Oryctolagus cuniculus: one gene and its partner. The protein of the gene in region 1 purifies or fractionates together with the protein of each later gene. This does not show direct contact. Links are inferred from orthologs where the notes say so. Each region holds a gene or a part of one and is shown in the gene's direction. Other genes may lie near its edges.

The links. Proteins that work in one complex are often made in the same cells at the same time.
Region 2: the proteins of BCL7C (region 1) and ARID2 purify together in Homo sapiens (affinity purification with mass spectrometry; 3 studies listed by BioGRID and IntAct, counting the BioPlex papers as one, with this or other methods). This does not show direct contact. The link is inferred for Oryctolagus cuniculus from reciprocal best matches to the Homo sapiens genes BCL7C and ARID2.

What each region holds. Positions count from the first base shown.
Region 1 is NC_091450.1:6,251,019-6,254,689, forward strand, and holds the start of BCL7C (B-cell CLL/lymphoma 7 protein family member C), read left to right. Parts: upstream 1-815; 5' UTR 816-1,027; coding exon 1,028-1,119; intron 1,120-1,675; coding exon 1,676-1,754; intron 1,755-2,065; coding exon 2,066-2,174; intron 2,175-2,282; coding exon 2,283-2,444; exon of another isoform or gene 2,445-2,670; intron 2,671-2,760; exon of another isoform or gene 2,761-3,622; coding exon 3,623-3,671. UniProt on the Homo sapiens protein: May play an anti-apoptotic role.
Region 2 is NC_091440.1:136,610,127-136,613,770, forward strand, and holds part of ARID2 (AT-rich interactive domain-containing protein 2), read left to right. Parts: intron 1-675; coding exon 676-742; intron 743-839; coding exon 840-1,090; intron 1,091-1,416; coding exon 1,417-1,513; intron 1,514-1,593; coding exon 1,594-1,803; intron 1,804-2,565; coding exon 2,566-2,733; intron 2,734-3,644. UniProt on the Homo sapiens protein: Involved in transcriptional activation and repression of select genes by chromatin remodeling (alteration of DNA-nucleosome topology). Required for the stability of the SWI/SNF chromatin remodeling complex SWI/SNF-B (PBAF).

The sequences.
Region 1 (3,671 bases):
CTTTCGAACTTCATAGAAATAGAACCAGGTGGTGTATCTGGCTTAAACTCAAGATCTGCTGAGGGAGACTTGTCCCGTCGCTGGGTGTAGTGGGACAGCGGGCATTCTTGCCCGCTGGGTCTCTGTCTTGGGTATCAATAGCTGCAACCCACTTCCCAGTCTCCTCTTGGTAAGCCGTTTACGGTTCGGGGCTGTTAAGAACGCGGCTGTGAACATCCCAGCTCACGGCTCTTGGTGCTCCTGTCTAAGCATTTCTGCTGGGTGCTGACGTGCTGGATTCCTGGGCTGGTCTTTGTTCAGCTTCATGGGAAAGTCTCTACCAATTCCCACTCCCCCAGAAACAGAAGGGAGGCCGCGCGGCTCCGCTGGCCCGCCCACACTCGGTATGGCCTGTCGTTCTCGCTATAGCCATCCTGGGGGGTGGAGACTCACTCATGTGTGCAGCTGTGGCGCGTAATTGGCACTGGGCTGCTAGATCGTTGAATGAATGAATGGGTGAACGAATTAAGTTGGGCAGCGTAGAATCAGCCAGCCCGGCGAGGGAGGAGGGGGTGTCCGGGGACACACACACGGTGTCTCAGGTTCGCACACCTGCACCCAGACCCTCTCGTGCACCCGAGCGCCCACGTGGTCTGGACGCGCCGCCTCGGCGGAGCCGCGCGCGTCCAAGTCGCCGAGCCAGCGGGCCCCCAACTCTCGCTCGCTCTCGGCGGCGGACAGGGGGCGCTGCGCGTCCGGGCGCCCCCGAAGGGGCGGGCCCGGGGCGGGGCGGGGCTGGCCCGGCTTCCAGGCCTGGGCTCCGGCACCCGCGCCGCCCGGCCGCTCCGGGGACGGGCCGGGGCGGGGCGCGGCGGCAGGAAGCGGGGCGGGGACTCGCGGAGGCGTTGGGGAGCGAGGGAGGGCGCGGCCAACTCCCGGAGGGGACGGCGGGCGGCGAGAGCGGCGCCCCGGCCTGGCGCCGAGCCTGAGCCCGCCGGACGGGAGGCAGCCCCGCCGCGGGCTCGGCCCCGGCCCCAGCGCCGCCAGCATGGCCGGCCGGACCGTACGGGCTGAGACCCGGAGCCGGGCCAAGGATGACATCAAGAAGGTGATGGCGACCATCGAGAAAGTCCGGCGATGGTGAGCGCTGCCCCGCGGCCGGGGCCGGGACCCTGGCGGGGACCACCGCCCCCTCGCGCGCCTCCCCTCCCCTCGCCAGCTGCGCCCCCCAGGTGTTAGGTGCGCCCCCGGCCACCAGCTGTGCGCGGGATCCCCAGGGCTCCGTCTCCCTTCCCCGGGCTACCCCCGGAGGTCTACAAAGCGTGGTCCCCAGCCGTGCCTTCGCCGGGCGGGAGCCCTCGTCCGTGCCCCGCCCCCTGAAGCTCTGACACTCCTGCAAGTATGGCCCGGGCTCCGAGCTGCGTCCCCAGGGATGGCCCCCTCCCTCCGGAGGGGTTCTGCCCTAGCCATGGCCCCGAGGCGTGCCCGGGGCGCCCCCTCCCCATCTTTGCCCTGGGCTCGCTCTCTCCAACAGTGCCTCATTCGCAAAACCGCCCCAACCCTCGTGCACCTCCCCCACCTTGCAGATGTGGTACCTGGGGCAGAGGCGGAGGCGGCGGGTCAGGCGGGTGCGCGCGGGGGGGGGGGGCGCCTCTCCCCTCAGGCCTCTCTGACCCAGCACCCCACCCTCCCACAGGGAGAAGCGTTGGGTGACTGTGGGCGACACTTCCCTTCGCATCTTCAAGTGGGTGCCGGTGGTGGACCCCCAGGAGGAGGTGAGCAAGCCCACCCCCCACCCCCCAAGACCCTGCATCTGTGCAGTCTCAGCCCAGCTCCTCCCCACCCTGGCCTCCACCTCCAGTGCCTACCGCAGCCCAGATGTTCAGGATTACTCGGCTGCCCCTCCCCCTCCCCCTTTCCTGCTCCAGACCCCCCCCCTGCAAGGCTAACCCAGCACGCACAGCCTCTGTCACCTCTGGCTGGGCCTTGGGTTTCTCTGTGCCTCAGTTTCCCCGTTTGTCCCCGTGGGGCTCTGCCAGGGCTGCCGGGAAACGCTGGCTCTGATCCTCATCCCTGTCACCCCCAGGAGCGGCGGCGGGCAGGTGGCGGGGCAGAGCGATCCCGTGGCCGAGAGCGGCGAGGCAGGGGTGCCAGTCCCCGAGGGGGCGGCCCGCTCATCCTGCTAGATCTCAATGGTATGTGTGGGGGCCCAGGCATTGCCGGGGGCGGGGAGGGGTGGCTGTGGGACCTGGAGGAGGGGCCTGGGGGCCTCAGGCCGACCCTCTGGGCTCTTGTTTCTGCAGATGAGAACAGCAACCAGAGCTTCCACTCGGAAGGCTCCCTGCACAAGGGTACCGAGCCCAGCCCCGGGGGCACCCCACAGCCCAGCCGCCCTGTGTCACCCGCCGGAGCCCCGGAAGGGGTCCCTGAGGAGGCTCAGCCCCCACGGCTGGGCCAAGAGAGAGGTAGGATCAGGTGCCACCCAGAGCCCCCTTCTCTGCGCCCAGCAGCTCACCCCGCTACCTGCCCCTCTCCCATGAGCCCCGTGGAAACAGTGCCCGCCCCTGCCGTCTCCTCTGGCATTTCCCTATCAATTTCAGTTGCTGCTCACATACTGTCTTCCTGCCCCGTCTCGTGTCGGCTTCCTGGAGGTCGGGCCCTCCCCGATCTTGTTCACGGCATCCTCCAAGTCTAGTGGGACGCATAATAGGTGCTCAATCAATGTTTGTCGAGTGACTAAAAGACGAAGCTACTCACGGGCGCTATTGATTGAGCTCTTACTGCGTGCCAGGTGCCTTCCAAACACTCTGTTCTGTTTTATCTCATTGACTCGCCGCCTCGGAGGGGTTAGCCTGCCCTGCTTCCTGTTTGTAGCTGAGGAGGCAGATCAGCAAGGTTAAGTCGGTCGCCCGAGCTCACACAGCGTCTTCAGGTTGAGGCTCCTCAGCTCCTCTTTCTTCCAGTTCACCCCCGCCCAGCGTGGCCTCCCCAGGCCACAGCCTGGCTCCAGCCGCCCCGCAGCTGTAGCACAGCTCTGCCTGAAGCGGGGGGCCGGGTGGGGCTCATTTTCCTGCTGTGGCTCCTTCTGCCCCCTGAGCTGGACGCTGAGGGCCCCCTGTGCGCCGTGCCCTGCCCGCCACCAAAGCCACGGCTTGGGCCTAGGGGCTGAGCCTGGACACCTGTGCTAATAGAGAAGCAGTAACTGGCATTTCTGGCGCACGTGCTGGGTGCCAAACACTTTGAGCTGTACTACCTCGCCTCCTCCTCCCGAGAGTCATGCACCAACTGCGACCCCTGGCCCCATGTTATGGATGGCTAAGGAGAGGCCCCAAGAGACGGAAGGAGCCGGCCCAAGGCCAGGATCTGAAGGCGGCCGCTGAACTCCAGGACCTGTGCTCACTACCCTGCGTTCCCTTTGTCTGAAGTGTGTTTTTCTTGGTAAAGCTACACCGCTTTGCAGATCCTGCATAAGTGTTCCTGCTTCAGTCTGGGGCTGGGACTTCAGCCAGGTCCTGGGCCCCTTTCTCTCTGTCCAGCTGCCTGTGTGTGTGTGTGCGCGCGCGCACGTGCGTGCATTTCTCCCAGTCTGACCTCTGGGCACAGAGTGGCTGCTCAGGGAATGACTGTTCACTTGACATTCCAGATCCCGGGGGCATAACTGCAGGCAGCACGGACGAACCCCCCATGCTGAC
Region 2 (3,644 bases), on another chromosome or scaffold:
GGGGTTTGATTTTTATCCTAAAAAAGTATATTTAACAGTAGGGTGGATTTTGACTCAGTTCTTCCATTATACCAAAAAATAGTTTGAAGATAGGAAATACTGGAAAGCAGATTAACTGTCTGGGTTTCTCATTTGAGAACCTACAGCCTCACCTCTGGTCATGTATCAGGGCTGTCTGTCACAGGGTCCTGAGTTACGTTCTATTTACAAGTGATGCCTCCTATAATCTGCTTTATTGTAAAGGTGGTCTGAAACACCTGTAATTCCTGTTGTCACAGTGTCCAGGTGCAGCTGGTACTGCTGTTGCTTGTTGCCTAACACCACTTAAGGCTAAAAATCCATGCTCAGTGTCACATAAAGGTTAATGAACATAAAGATTTCTTTTTTCCCACATCCAAATTTACAGATGTCTGGATTTCTTTCATAGACTTGAGAGAGTTCTGTGGCTCCCAGGTTAAAGACCCATTCCCTAAAATGATGCTTTATTATTTAGGTGTCTTTACCTGTTAAAAAAAAGAAACATTTATGTCAAACAATTAAATTCATGAATGTAACAACATCCATCTGAACCAAAAAAAGTAAAAATGTACAGTTTTATGTATGTGTGTTCTTAAAGTAATAGGACCATTGTTTTAACAGGTCATTGAGATCCAATATAATAATTTCTCGTTACAGTTTTGGAAAGACATTGTTGATGATAATGAAGTACGTGACCTCATTTCTGACAGAAACAAGTCTCACGGTAAGTCAGTGGAAGCAACGTTATGAAATAATTTGTTAATACTAGTAATAATAATAAATAAAGTATCAGTTTAAGTGAGATTGTGTTTCTTGATTAGACGGTACAGCAGGAGACTGGATTTGGGAGTCTTTATTTCACCCACCTCGAAAGCTGGGCATTAATGATATCGAAGGGCAGCGGGTTCTCCAGGTGGCAGTGATTTTGCGGAATCTTTCCTTTGAGGAGGGCAACGTGAAGCTCCTGGCAGCTAACCGCACCTGTCTCCGCTTCCTGTTACTCTCCGCGCACAGTCATTTCATTTCTCTAAGGCAGTTGGGCCTGGACACTCTAGGAAATATTGCAGCTGAGGTAAGCCTAATAATATGAACATGCACCTTGAAAATCATACCAGAGTTGGCAATGTTATTTACTTTAAAAGTTTCGGAAGTGAGATTTTGTAGTTGCTATATTTATAACATACTAAATGCTAACGTGTATCTGTTGTGTGGAAGAATCACACACTTTTGTGGAAGAAATATTTACAATGAAGCTTCAATTTTAGTGATGGCTGTTCTCACAATAGTTGCGTATTTTAAAGTTATGCCACCTTGTCCTGGTCATTTTTATTAAATTTCAAATATAGAACTCTGAAGGAAGCACACTTCAACAGTACTATTCTTTCTTTTTTTTTTCAGCTTTTATTGGACCCTGTTGATTTCAAAACGACTCATCTAATGTTTCATACTGTTACAAAATGCCTCATGTCAAGGGATAGGTTTTTAAAGATGAGGGGTGAGTGCTCATGTAAGTTTTCTGTTGTCTGAAGCAGATGAACTTTATCATTTGTTCACAACCGTGTGTGCATTTTGCAGGCATGGAAATTTTGGGAAATCTTTGCAAAGCAGAAGATAATGGTGTTTTAATCTGTGAATATGTCGATCAAGATTCGTATCGAGAGATCATTTGTCATCTCACTCTACCAGATGTGCTGCTTGTAATCTCAACACTTGAGGTGCTATACATGCTCACCGAAATGGGAGATGTTGCTTGCACAAAAATTGCAAAAGTAGAAAAGAGTATAGGTAAGACTGAACCAAAAATAATTTATCTGTGCTGCCGAGGAAAAAATTGCAAACGTGGGACTGTACAGAAACCTCAGTTGATATTTGGGTTTCTTGTTACTTTGAGGGAGTCTTTACACCCTCAGACACACTTAACTGTGCACACCTTTTGCCAGTTTTAGATGAGCAGAGACGCGTGTCCTGAGGGAGACCAGGTTCTGCCTTAGGAATCCCGTGTATCACACTGGATGTTCCCAGACTGCTGCGTCTCAGTGCTGTAGGGACAGCTCTCTGGTGCAGCCCGCAGTTACCACTGCTGAGCAGCTGAAGCTGAGTGAAGCTTCTGGTTCGTTTCTGTCCATAACATGGGTGACCTGTCTCAGAGTTACCAGTTTTAAATATACATCCTAAAGCACACCAGCTCAATGGTTTTTTTCCTCTGTGTCTAAAAATGATGTCTCTTGAGTAAAAATAACTAACATCAGAATTAATAAAGATTTAACCTGAAAACCACTAATGTTGAGAAGTTAAGATGTTATTTTTCATATCAGCTGTTTCTAAATCTGGCTACCGGTCAGAATCACTTGGAAGCCTTTTAAAAAAGATGCCTGCCTCCCCCCCCAGAGCTTCTGCGTCAGTCTGCAGGGATTCAGTCCACAGGTAGTTCAGATGTTCATGGACTGGCATTAGAGAAGGGGTATTCTGTACAACATTGTTCTCCAGCAGTGGCCTTGTTTCATAGTATTATTGAGCAATAACTATTGATTTTTAAATTTATTTCAGACATGTTAGTGTGTCTGGTTTCTATGGATATTCAGATGTTTGGCCCTGATGCTTTAGCTGCAGTAAAACTCGTGGAACATCCAAGTTCCAGTCATCAAGTGTTGTCTGAAATCAGGCCACAAGCTGTGGAGCACATCCAAGCCCAGGCGCCTGTAGCTTCTGCCTCAGGTTAGTGTTTGTCGTACTCTTTATCAGTGTGATTATGGGTATGTAAAATTAATAACGAGGGTTAACTTGAATATGCATTTCAGAAAACTGGTAGTTTAAGGGGAGTTTGGGGTGTGTACTTCACATTCCAAGAGTAGTAGGCCAAGGCGAGCACAGAGGCAGAACAGTGTTCCAGAGAAAGCAGTTCCGAGAACGGAAGAGGCTAGGTAGTCACAGTCTTAAGAGCAAGAAAAAGTGACCCACAGGAAACTGACATACAAATGATGGCTTATATTTCTTTATAATTCTCAGGGTGACCATGAGGATACAGGAAGATGATATCCTGACACCCACAAATCTTGGACCCAACACCAGAGAATCAGCTTAGGAGCAGATGCATATGCATGTTTGCCTGTGCACACATATACACACACACCCTAGTGTTCCTAGTGTTCCCCTGGCTCCATGCTGTTTAAAATACATTTCATTGTAATGTAGACCTAGCAATAACCAGTCTTCACCTAAGTCCTCTGACTTCTTCCTCATGGCTCATTATGTGTTAGCATTTCTATATTTAGCACTTGCAGCCTTTTTAGCACTTGTCTGCCTTCCTTTGTCCCCACAAAGAGCCCAACTTCACTTCCTGGCCTTTCCACTTCCTACCTTCCCACCGCCCTTTGACCCCATAACTCTTCTCCAGTATTCTTGAATGGAAGGTGCTTGTTAGCTCAGGTCATGTCACTTCTCCCTCTGCAGTCAGTGCAGAGGCACTCTAGAGTGAGTTTCAATGTCTTTCTCTTCTTACAAACTTGGTAGCATCTCAGTTCCTTCTTCACCTCTTGCTTGTCTCACCTGTGGTGCTGAGTTCTTCACCTGCTCTGAGTATCATTCTGTCCCATCTCCTAGATGCCACATCGTGGCACCTCTCTTTC